4 linked regions of the Yarrowia lipolytica genome follow. The protein of the gene in region 1 binds, or shares a complex with, the protein of each later gene. Links are inferred from orthologs where the notes say so. Each region holds a gene or a part of one and is shown in the gene's direction. Other genes may lie near its edges. The genes, in order: YALI1_D02087g, YALI1_E18326g, YALI1_D27297g and YALI1_E00551g.

Region 1 (3,115 bases):
TTCACCAAGAACTTCAAGAGACGATACCCCGAGGACAAGCTCCAGGCCGCTGGTGGCTTCTCCTTCCTCTTTGGCCAGGTGGATTTGAACGGGAAGACACAGTTCTCCATCATTTCGAACCGTGGTGGCGATCATGAGTGGGTGGCAAGGGATCCAGAGGACCAAACCATTGGAATCTCCAACTCGCTGTTCTGCAATCCTTGGCCCAAGTGCGCTCTGGGAATTGAGCGGCTGGATGAGGTAGTAAAGGAGAGCGTGGAGTCTGGAAGCAGTCGCAAGGAACTTGTGGACTCGTTATTTGACGTTCTTTCACACGACACGTTTGATCCCGGCGCCAAAAAGGGCGCCTCCGAGCAAGAGATCCACCATGCCCTGCGCCAGTCAGTGTTCATTCCCGTCATTGCTGCTGCGGGGTACCAGGAAGGCCAGGACTGGAACGTGACGCACCCTTTTGGAAAACACTATGGCACTCGGACACAAACCATCATCATGGTGGGTAAAGACGGACAGCTGCGGTACTTTGAGAAGACTCTCCATACAAAGGACACTGACGAGAAGGAGGAGCATCCGTTAGTTGAGCATGTTTTCGAAATCAACAAGGAAAATAAGAGCGGGGGAGGAGGTTCTGGAGGTTGGAGGTGTTTGTTGTCGTGAGCAACAGCAGTTAACAGGTGAGTGTAGTCGTGAACGAAGACGACAAACCCGCCTCAGAGGCACTGAGTTTCTGTGATGTAGTCGTGACCTTTCTCGGCATCCCGCGATCTTCCGATTCAGATTTTAAATAATGCTCTATTGATACTATGTGAATTACAATCTCCATGCCCGTGGATTCTAGATCCTTCCTATTCCTTTTGCTTACTCCTTGGACTTCTTTTCCTTCTTGTCTTTCTTTTCCTTTTTCTCCTTCTTGTCCTTCTTGTCCTTCTTGTCCTTCTTTTCCTTCTTCTGCTTCTTTGCAGAAGGCTCCTCGGTCGTCACATCCTCCTGGGATCGCTTTTTGGTACTTGTAGATTTAGATGCAGTCTTCTTGGTCTGGCTAGCAGACGAAACAGGCATGGCAGAATCCAGTCCGTAGTCCTCGGGTCCGTAGCCAGTAGGGAACCATCTCTGATGCAGACCGTCCACCTTACCAACAATGGGTTTGGGCACACAGACCTGTTCGAGGTCGACAGGAGGCAGAGACACCTTCTCGACGAGCTGCAGCTGCTCGGAAACGGTCTGTTGGGTGGCTCCAAGGTAGTCCGCGTCGGTCTTCTTGCCGAAGACAAACACATTGTGTCCTCCCTCCATGGTCTGCAGAATGTATGTCTTTTTTCCGAGGGTGACCTCACCGTCGATTTCCAGCGGCTGTGATGCGAGGTCGGCCATTTCGACGCCCTTGGGGAGCTTGATAGACCACAGGGTCGTGTTTTCCTCGGGCAGGTCGGCGATCATGATGGTTGGTGTGTGGGTGTGTGGGTGATTTCGAAATTGAATATGCGATATGCACAAATTTTTGATTAAAGTTTTTAATTGATATTGAGTTGACTTTGGTGGAAGTTGAACTGACAACCATTCAGAATGTAGCCTTTAATTCAACTTTGGGCGGAGTCGAACCAGCGGGTGAAAATTACCTCGCATTTGTGTGATTTTGCACAAACCAGATCACAAACCAGCTCACACAACTACAGTCGAAAATGCTCCGACAACTGGTGAAACAGACCCGTGTGGGTTGTATGGCGACCCGAGGCTACGCCAACACCGCGGCACTCGCCCATGAAGAGCGGCTCAAGCACCTCAACTTCCTGTCGCAGTACTACGACGCCGAGACGGTCGAGTCGATTCTCAAGGCCGAGGCTGCCATCAAGCCTGAAGAGTGGGCCGCCAAGTCGCCCCTGTCGCGAATGTCGCCCGGCTACTTTGACGACTTCACCGAGCACGATCCCTTCTACGATCACGCTACTAACAAGTGGACCAACTTTTCGCAGCCACGACAGCCAGTGCCCACCGAGCACGTGCTGGGAACCAGCTCGGCATACCCTCTGGGCTCGCTAGAGACCGGTGACGAGACCGATTCTATTGTGGACACAAAGTTCACCGAGAACATCGAGCCCCAGTTTCACGACAGAATGACTCGAAACACCAGACTCCTGCTAAACAGAATTGTCAAGAGTCAGACCGGAAAGGGAAAGAAGATGCAGTTCTGCGTGCTTGTGGCAACTGGAGACGGCAAGGGAATGCTTGGATTGGGCGAGGGTAAAGATCCTCTGTCTTTCCCTGTGGCTCTCGAAAAGGCCATGTGGAAGGCAACTCGATCTATGAAAATGGTGCCCCGATACCAGAACCGAACTATCTACGGCGAGGTGTACAAGAAATTCCACGCCGTGCATCTGACCATGCGGTCTGCTCCTGCTGGTCACGGTCTGCGAGTCAACCCCATTGTGTCGCAGATGTGCAGCATGGTGGGTATCACTGATATGACCTGTAACGTCTACGGCTCGCGAAATCCCCTGAACGTGGCCAAGGCCGCCTTTGAGGCGCTCACCCAGGAGCAGGTCATCCCCGACTCCATTGCACAGATCCGAGGCAAGAAGCTCGTTAACCTGAACGAGACCTACTTCGCCAAGTCGGATTAAAACTTGTATATAGCCTATGAAGTGCCCTCGATTAAAAAGAAGGAGTGGACCGTAGTCAGATTGTAGAGCGAGAGTGTTTAAGCAAACTTCAACTCTCTTACGTGAAAACGTGACTGAGCAAAAGAGCAGTACAAGTACAAGTAAATACTGTGTACTTAATGGCGGAGTAGTCAGTCAAGATACCTTCTTGATCCAAAGCCACTCAAAGATCTGTTTTCCAGACAAAGGTGATATACAACAACGTCTGCTTCTACTTGTACTGGTATATACTTGTACAGTATGTCCTCTAACCCGCGTTTTGCTATCGCTGCTACTGGTACACCACAGTGTGCCTGCACACACGGTACTACAAGTAGCGGTATTACTTGGCGAATTTTTATCAAGAGCCGACGAGACATGAGACTAAGTTGTACCGATATGAATAAAATGCCATTTTGAAGTCCCGCACTTTCTAGCAGCTTAATAGAAGTTATGAACTGAACTATTTCAAACATGACTAC
Region 2 (2,575 bases), on another chromosome or scaffold:
CCGCATCACAGGTTTCAAAAAGCTGGAACTCCATTGTTGAAAGCTTGGGCGCAATCTGGAAGGGTCTTTCAGAGAGCCACCAGGCGCCCGTTACCGATGCTGACGTTGCCAGAGCTACCGAGCAAAAGTGGGACTATACCACGTGGGGGTCCGAGGACACCGATCCTAGCATTGTCGAATCCACTCCTCTGTACAGCAAGATCAACCTGTACAAGAGCATATACCGTCGAAGACATCTTATTCGTCGCAACTGGATGGATCCCAACTCCACACCTGACTCCACATGCATCCGAACTGGACGGGAGGCAGTCATTACTTGTCTCCAGTTTGATGATGACATCATTGTCACTGCCAGCGAAGACCCTTGGATCAACGTCTACGACACTAAAACTGGCCGTCAACGAAGTCGACTCGAAGGTCACACTGGAGGAGTGTGGGCTCTGCAGTACGTTGGTGATACATTGGTCAGTGGAAGTATTGACAGAACTGTTAGAATTTGGAACATCAAAGAAGCACGATGCACCCACATTTTTACAGGTCACGTCTCTACGGTGCGGTCACTAAGCATCCTGACTCCTGTGCCAATGAGCCATGCAATGTGTGCTACTGCACGAACGGAGAGCACCGACCCCGATGAGATGTATCCTTCTCGACCTCTCATTGTTACTGGATCTCGGGACAAGACACTGAGAGTCTGGAAGCTTCCTCTTCCAGGCGAGCCTGAATGGCTGGATCAGTCCACTCAGGATCCCTACTTCATGAAGTCACTCCAGGGCCACTCTAATTCTGTTCGCGCCGTTAATGGCTACGGTGACACTCTTGTCTCTGGATCTTATGACACTACTGTGCGTGTCTGGTCTATCAACACTGGAAAGTGCAAGTTTGTACTTTCTGGACATCACAAGCGAGTATATGCTGCTGTTCTTGATCATCAGCGTAATCGATGCATCTCTGGGTCGCTTGACTGGAATGTGAGGGTCTGGTGCCTTGAGTCAGGATCCTGCCTGTACACTTTGGAAGGTCACACCTCGCTTGTTGGTCTCCTTGACCTCAACCGATCTTGGCTCGTGTCGGCTGCAGTTGACTGGACCCTTCGAGTTTGGGACCCCGAGACTGGAGGCAACATACATAAGCTGGAGGGACACGCGGAGGCAATTTCTTGCTTTCAGCACGACGAATACAAAGTTGTCAGTGGTTCCGCAAAATGCTTGAAGCTCTGGGATATTCGTACTGGCAAACTTGTGAAAGATTTGTTCACGGAGTGTGAGTCAATCTGGCAAGTGCGGTTTAGTGGATCCAAGCTCGTCGCAGCTGTCCAGAAAGACAACGAGGCTTATCTCCGAATCCTGGATTTCGATTATGAGCCAGGAACGAAGACTGAGAAAACGGTCTACGTTGGAAATGAGGATGACATCAAGGTCGAAGACGAGCTTGACACCGCTGCCGCTCCTGATGTAGCTCAATCCTAAGTTTCATACAAGCTACATGGGCATTTACATTTGCCCACCCATATATTTAATTAACAGGATATTATTTACGATACTCGTATCACATACCTTCATACAGTAATTCTGATGGCTGTGTTTTCAAATGAGCTTATCGGGTCACGTGTGTTTAAGGTTTCAATGAGATGTTAGCTTTTCAGTCCCAAATCACCACAACACAACTCGCACCACGATGAACCCCATCCGGCCCAGCAAAGAGCGACTTACCTCGTTGGCAAAATTGACTGCCCAGGTTTTTAATCGGTCTTACAACCCCGAGAACCTTCGACGTGGCACTAAGGCCCTCCGGGCACCGCTGATTGGCGAGCAGATCAAGAGCTACTACCCCACAAGCGACTTCAGCATGAAGAGCCTTCGAGAGGCCATGCCCCAGTTTGGTTTCGCAGACTACACTGAGTGGTACCGACTTACCAACGTTGTTCAGTGAGTATTAGATCCTATTGTATAAAGGCTACTAGGTACACGCACAATCGTGGTTCAATTATTAACAACAGGCGAAAGAAACGAGGAAAGGGAGCCCCTAAGAAGCTCACCGAGAAGAAGGCGGCCGGTGGAAAGAAGAAAAAATAGGCATGCTATTAATTTATACTGCCATGTACATAGACGAAATACAAAGCACGTTTACTACGGTGTATATGTTTCGATTAATTTCAACATTTCTATAAATTATGTAAGTATATCCATGGTTAGATGTAGTCGTGGCTATCGTCGTCAAGTGTTTCATCCTTCTCGTCATCTTGCTCTGCACGTTGGTATCGGCTAGCTCGTTTGGACAGAGCTCCACCCCAAACGGAGTTCTCAAACGAGTCGATGAGCTGGTCTTCCTGTCTGTGGATGAGGTTCAAATCAGAGGAGTCTTGGTCCTTGAAATTGTCACTGTCGCCTGATACGCGCCGGTCCCACATAGAGTTCCTGTCAATGTTTGACCGTTCCGAAGTCCATGAGAAACGGCCAGAGCTGCCAGCATTCGGGTTCGGTGTCATTGGGTCTGTAGACAGGAAGTAGTCTGCTGGAACTGGAACACCATCAGGTGTTGTAGGTACCTCTTCCACATCGAAGTCCGCCGTTTT
Region 3 (2,900 bases), about 2.5 Mb from region 1:
CATTGCAACATTACGAGTATGTACTCGAGCACCATCAGACTCTGGCATTGTGTTGAAGAGGAGCATCTTCACGCAAGTTGCAACCGGCTACTGTCGCTAGAATCAGCCTCCTCGCAATGTAATGTCCCATGTAGCCATTCCACCTAATCCCTTGTAATCAGCCACCGTCAAAAATTCCGAACATCTACTGCAAACGGAATGCACCATCCCTGAAGGTAAATAAATTAAAAGTACAATTACAATAAAGTAGAATCGAAAAAGTGGGACGGAAATGACGGCGGAGAAATTGAGGAAAAATGAGGAAAAATGAGGAAAAAATTGCTATTTAAATGCCGAAACTGGAAATAAATATACTCTGACCTGAGAATAGCCCAATAATCCCACATTTCGCCAATCAATACTCTTCAAACCTCGTTTCCGACACTCCCCACCGTCTCTTTAAACTCTCGAAAATGTAACCTAATAATCCTCCAAGCCCGAAATTGGTCTGAAATAAATGGCTAATTTCAAAAGAAGCAAACAAGAGACAAAGGATTCACCATTATCAAGCTGCGGCCCCCCGGCAGGTCACGTGACAATAACAAGAGGGGCCCGCTTACGACTACCTGCTGACGTAAGCTTCTGTATACCTTGTCGAATCAAAACTTGCTCCTAAACCGGGCACATCTATGCATGCACCGAGACGCAAGTGGACTACTGTATGTGCTGTACTTGCAGGAATTTGAGGTATTTCCACGTGTTGAGATGGGTTTGGAGTGGATAATTGACATCAAATAGTCCGATTATGTAGGTCTGGTTTGTTTATTGCCTTTTTCCCCGATTTTCCCTGATTTTACCCGATTCTCCCCGATTTTCCCCGACTTGAATCGTCCTCTTGAGACAAAATCTTTATTGCATTTTGCTCCGAAAATGTGTCTCAAACTCCGATCTGGGGTATGATTGGAAGTCGTGTGACTTCCTTTGAGTGGGGTAATGAAAACTGGACAATTCAGTCGTTGTTTCAATTTATTCAGAGTGTTGTTTGCTCTACAATACGTACGAGCACCCGTAGTTGTAGTTACGAAGAGGGTCTTATTCCCCGCTATAAAAGGTCGTAACCTGTGATAATGGTTACACTGACTAATAATGTCACCTGACAGGGTATTTTTGTTCACGAATAATTTCTAACGTCTTTATATATATTTTTGTGAGACGACACTTTACTATCCTTACAATATTCGAATTAGCTCTTATAAAATAACTAAATAAATATATACTTATTACAGTTCGTCAGCTTAGTCAGGGTAAGATGTGTCCTGTAAGTCGACATCACCGTCTCCCAACAGGAATCATGACGGATATGAAGAGCGTTTCTATGGTGAGAAAAATCTACATATATATATATACAAATACAAAATATGGCTGGAGTTGGTAACATTGCAGTAGTATGGCTTTTCTGATATTTTTACGTTTTTATACAACCGATCGTTGGCGTAGTCAGCAACTCCCCACTAGGCGAGAAAGTTTGCATATCAAATTTCAAATTTCAAATTCACTCGCTTCACACACCGCACAACCAAAATGCGACTGCCCAAGTTCAAGACGCCGTCGTGCTACATCGACGCCAAGGTGCTCAAGGATAACGCCATCCGGCACGTGTCTGCCCAGCAGGAGATTAACCGACGGGCCCTCAAGTCGATTTCGCAGAACACCACTCTGCCCATGAAGCAGCGGATCCAGGCCCATCTCCAGCTCACCTCCATGCCCGTCTTTTCTAACATCCACGCGGCAAAGCCCCGATGTGTCGAGACCGGAAGATCCAAGGGTATTATCAAGGAGTTCAAGCTGTGTCGAGTGAGTACAACCGAAGCGAAGACCAAAGGTCTGAGTGAAGAATGAGGAGTGGGAATGACTACAGTTGGGGAGAATGAGCCCCGCGAACGGGGATGGGAAATGAACCGCACCATCTTGAATGAGATAGCCCATGACCGGGATGTCGGCGATTGGAATGAGTGACAGTGCACATCGAACGGTAGGAAGTGCAGCAGAGAGACCATAAGTGCAGCAGTAGACCATAAGTGCAGCAATAGACCATCATGTTGGTTTCGTCTGTCGTCTTTTTATGCTGATTGCTGCTGTTTGATGCGTTGTGATTTGATCGGTATTTTTTCTGGACTTATTCCACGAGTTATTGGATTGGACACTGTCTTACCAACTGCCTTACAGACGGTTTTACCGACTTATCGACTTACTGGCTGCATTGTGTTTTGCTTCTCTCAACCTCTCTACGCTATTCTCACTCCTTACTCCCCTTACTCCCTTCTCTCCTGTTCTACTGTCCTTTCAAAGCTAACCCAGACCGCATTCCGAAACAAGGCCCTCAGCGGAGAGCTGCCCGGTGTCCGAAAGGCCTCGTGGTAAATATCATGTACATATCAATTTTAGTCGAACCTGAGCGGTGTAGATGGACAAATACAGTAGACGGTCGAATACTACATTATCGGATTGGAAAGGGGTTTATCGATACTCAGCTAACATTCTGCATCTTTGAAAAGAACCGTCTGTATGTAATAGTACGTGCATCCAGTATCAAGCACTCGTTCTTCGCGGAGCTATACCCACAAACTCGTATATTGTTATATTCTCACGACATGGACTGTAGACAGGTACTCGGAGTCTGGGTCCATGGATTAGGAACTGCAAGTTTCATCACTCGATGACAGAGATAGTCAAACAGAGAGACTGTTAGGGTGATAGTAAGACATGACTGACGAGCGTCAATATGTTGCACTATTCCTCCAACAGGTCCCTCGTCAAGGTCCCTCGAACAGGTTTCTCGAACGAATCCCTCCAAAAAGTCCCTCGAACAGTATCAATTTCTCGCTACTCTCGAAAATGCCACACCCGATGCAACGCTTGAC
Region 4 (3,054 bases), on another chromosome or scaffold:
CTCCAAGGGCCTCAGCAGCGTACTTGGTGATACCAATGAAGGCAACGCCGTCCTCGTGGAAGGCAACCCAGTCGTGATCCTCGGTGAACTTGAGGGTGTACTTGTTGGAGTACTTGTCGGGAATGGAGCCCTTGATGAGGGTGTGGTTGAGTCGCATCATGGTCAGAGGAGCCATTGTAGGAGCCATGGTGGCTCGGGGAGCGAATCGGAGGGAAGATCGGGCCAGAGTTCGAAGCATTGTGTGTGTTTTTGTGAGTGTAGTTGTGGTGGTGGAACGATATGTTGTCTGGGGTAGGCCACAGTTAAGTTAGGTGGATTGGGGTGACTCGGTTTGACTCAGTGAAGGTAGGGTAAGTGAAGTAGAGAGAACTGTGGGGGTGATCTGATAAATGTGGGTGAATAATGAATCACAAGAATGAGAATCAATATAGACGAGAACAATTCCCGACCACCCTAGACTCTATATACACCACACAGTTGCTCACAAACTCGAGCTGTTCTAGGCCGGCAACTAAACCTTGGACTATTGAGACAGCCGCCTTAACGAGATACGATAATGTGCAGTAGTTGCAACTGCGTACTCAGCTGCCTGTCAGACTCAGTGCTGAGAACACGATAACACTGAGTACAGTTGACGCGGGTGACATGATAGAAGCCGACTTGAGCTTCGAGAAATCGAATACTTGGGCCCCTTCTGTGATCTGTCATTGCTCCTGAAGGGCCATCCCTAGACTGGAACCACGGTCCAATTCACCCCACACAACCAATGATTCAGCCGCACATGGGTCTGATGCGTACTTATGTGCACAACTTGCAGGCTCGGTGCTTCATCAGAGGATACTATGGAAGCAGCTTTCAGGCGACCGTCTGAATAGGGGACAGTACGAAATTTGGCTACAAACAGGCATCTACAGTATGTACACACGAGTAGTCGAGTGGCTGAGAAATAGTTGACAGATATTCTACAAGTACAGACGTGTGTCGGTTGATCGAGAATCCATATCTTCTCAAATGATATACAGGAGAGGTAGACTTTTTCTTTCTTTCTCCAGCGCCGTTCCTAATACTTGTACTATTACAGTATCTCGAGATATCACCGTTTTCCAGGCACTTAGGTAAGTGTCTTAGTTGGCTGATTACTTGGGTAAAATTTGAAAGCCAGGACATCATCAATATCATTTAACTAATGTCTGTTAGCTGCACAAAAATGGAAACAATCCCAGAAGCACTCATAGCTCTTGCAAGATACCATTTATCAATAGACCCCATCAAATAATCATCATTAACCAGGACTGTGGTCTCGAGAAATGTGACAGGCCATCAATGCTCTTCCTACTGTAGGTTAAAACAGGTTAAAACAGGTTAAAACAGGTTAAAACGCCATCTGCCCGTAATACTGTAGTCAGTGATATTACATACAGCGACTCTCTCAGAGCAAGCTACAATACCTGCCGGTATGGTACTTGTCCGAGATGTTGCACCCACAGGTCATTTCCAGGTATGTACAGTACATACTTGATACTGGTACATGCTCCGAACGCAAAAAATGCACGTGACTTTTACCTGAGCAGTAATTAGAGATGAATGTTAGCAGCATCTGGCTTACATGAACGCAGTCATATATTTTATCCACTTTGAGAGCAACCAGACCCCTCAGGTAAATTTCCTTTATTGTTCATATATCCGACCTACCTATTTCGGCTCGATATTAAAGTGCTCTTAATTACTCACGTATTGTACTGACAGACCGACCATGTTCAGAGTGCCAAAATAAGGTTGCAGCATCCAGTAACATTTTCAACCTTCATCTCTCACACGACGTCATCGCATCCCAACTACCCCTCTACACAACAGACTCGAAATGCTCTACGAACTCGTTGGAATCGCATCGGTGACTCCGGCACACGCGGCCGCCAAGCAGGCCGTCACCCAGATCGGCCGAATGATCATCGGCAACAGAGGCGTGGTCCGCCTCATTGAGTGCTGGCGATTCAAGCCCCTGCCCCAGATCATGAAGGCCCAGCAGAAGAGCTACGTGGTCGGCGACTACTTCTACATGAAGTTCGACTGTTCTCCCGGAGCCCAGGGCGAAATCATGCGAGCTGTCCAGGCTGACCCCCGTTTGATTCGAACCTTTTGCGTCAAGCTGAATGAGAAGTGAGTATGATATGGTTGCTCTTGAACAGAGTAACGAAGCTGGAGAGCTAACTGGGACAGGCGAGAGCTATTTTGTGAGCAGAAGTGCCCGTTTGGACAAAAAATGAAGTCTTTGCTCATTCTATCCTTTTCTATTTAAGATGCTCTTTTGACAATCATTCTCTAATCTTGAGTGGCGTCTTGAATAAGCAACCCAAGTCTAGACACGGACATGTTGGATTCTAGTCTTCGCCAAGCCGTCGGAATTCCTCCTCTGTTACCTGAAATAGCACCTCGAGCTATTAGAAGCGACCAGACATTTATATACGACTTGAGGCAGTTCCTCGTTGCATTCAAACAACTATATTTCTACACATCTTCAACATACTAACACAGATCCAGCAAAACCCTCATCTAGCATCTCTATTTAATGTACATATTCGACACAGTGTAAGTGATTTTCTTGCCTAAGGCGTGCCTGTAGGTGGACAGTATGTTCAAACTTCAGAACAAGGGCATTAGTTAAGGAGTAAAGACGACTCTTGCCCGTCTTGTGTGTGATACAACTGTTCTTATCTCGTGTATCCGAGACACTGTTTTAGCTAATACATGGTCTCGAACACGGGTGTGTGTGCATACTCATAAGACTACATACCGGCACTGGTACGAGGGAGTAACACTGTCAGTAACTACAACTGTTCAGATATGAAGTCAAATAAATCTCTCACGGCTGCAATATCGTAGATATATACTGGTGCCGTACATACCTGTACACGGATTACAAGTCGTTAATCGTCTAAAGGTCTATGCGAGTGTCGTCATGACACGACGACTCATTGGCAAAAACTGCATATGCTACCTTTAGTATGTACTGTACATACATCAATATCACACGAACCCCATTAACGTACTGTTTAT

What was found.
Region 2: YALI1_D02087g (region 1) and YALI1_E18326g share a complex: the UniProt entries of both Saccharomyces cerevisiae proteins name them as parts of the mitochondrial small ribosomal subunit. The link is inferred for Yarrowia lipolytica from reciprocal best matches to the Saccharomyces cerevisiae genes MRPS5 and RSM27.
Region 3: YALI1_D02087g (region 1) and YALI1_D27297g share a complex: the UniProt entries of both Saccharomyces cerevisiae proteins name them as parts of the mitochondrial small ribosomal subunit. The link is inferred for Yarrowia lipolytica from reciprocal best matches to the Saccharomyces cerevisiae genes MRPS5 and MRP2.
Region 4: YALI1_D02087g (region 1) and YALI1_E00551g share a complex: the UniProt entries of both Saccharomyces cerevisiae proteins name them as parts of the mitochondrial small ribosomal subunit. The link is inferred for Yarrowia lipolytica from reciprocal best matches to the Saccharomyces cerevisiae genes MRPS5 and MRP17.

What each region holds. Positions count from the first base shown.
Region 1 is NC_090773.1:207,083-210,197, forward strand, and holds YALI1_D02087g (mitochondrial 37S ribosomal protein uS5m), read left to right. Parts: upstream 1-1,676; coding exon 1,677-2,615; downstream 2,616-3,115. Other genes in the region: YALI1_D02063g (uncharacterized protein), read left to right, coding at 1-654; YALI1_D02085g (uncharacterized protein), read right to left, coding at 856-1,434. UniProt on the Saccharomyces cerevisiae protein: Component of the mitochondrial ribosome (mitoribosome), a dedicated translation machinery responsible for the synthesis of mitochondrial genome-encoded proteins, including at least some of the essential transmembrane subunits of the mitochondrial respiratory chain.
Region 2 is NC_090774.1:1,830,983-1,833,557, forward strand, and holds YALI1_E18326g (uncharacterized protein), read left to right. Parts: upstream 1-1,677; coding exon 1,678-1,928; intron 1,929-1,999; coding exon 2,000-2,075; downstream 2,076-2,575. Other genes in the region: YALI1_E18303g (uncharacterized protein), read left to right, coding at 1-1,469; YALI1_E18378g (uncharacterized protein), read right to left, coding at 2,192-2,575. UniProt on the Saccharomyces cerevisiae protein: Component of the mitochondrial ribosome (mitoribosome), a dedicated translation machinery responsible for the synthesis of mitochondrial genome-encoded proteins, including at least some of the essential transmembrane subunits of the mitochondrial respiratory chain.
Region 3 is NC_090773.1:2,728,111-2,731,010, forward strand, and holds YALI1_D27297g (mitochondrial 37S ribosomal protein uS14m), read left to right. Parts: upstream 1-1,560; coding exon 1,561-1,833; intron 1,834-2,337; coding exon 2,338-2,400; downstream 2,401-2,900. UniProt on the Saccharomyces cerevisiae protein: Component of the mitochondrial ribosome (mitoribosome), a dedicated translation machinery responsible for the synthesis of mitochondrial genome-encoded proteins, including at least some of the essential transmembrane subunits of the mitochondrial respiratory chain.
Region 4 is NC_090774.1:54,672-57,725, reverse strand, and holds YALI1_E00551g (mitochondrial 37S ribosomal protein bS6m), read left to right. Parts: upstream 1-1,861; coding exon 1,862-2,157; intron 2,158-2,532; coding exon 2,533-2,554; downstream 2,555-3,054. Other genes in the region: YALI1_E00574g (uncharacterized protein), read right to left, coding at 1-238. UniProt on the Saccharomyces cerevisiae protein: Component of the mitochondrial ribosome (mitoribosome), a dedicated translation machinery responsible for the synthesis of mitochondrial genome-encoded proteins, including at least some of the essential transmembrane subunits of the mitochondrial respiratory chain.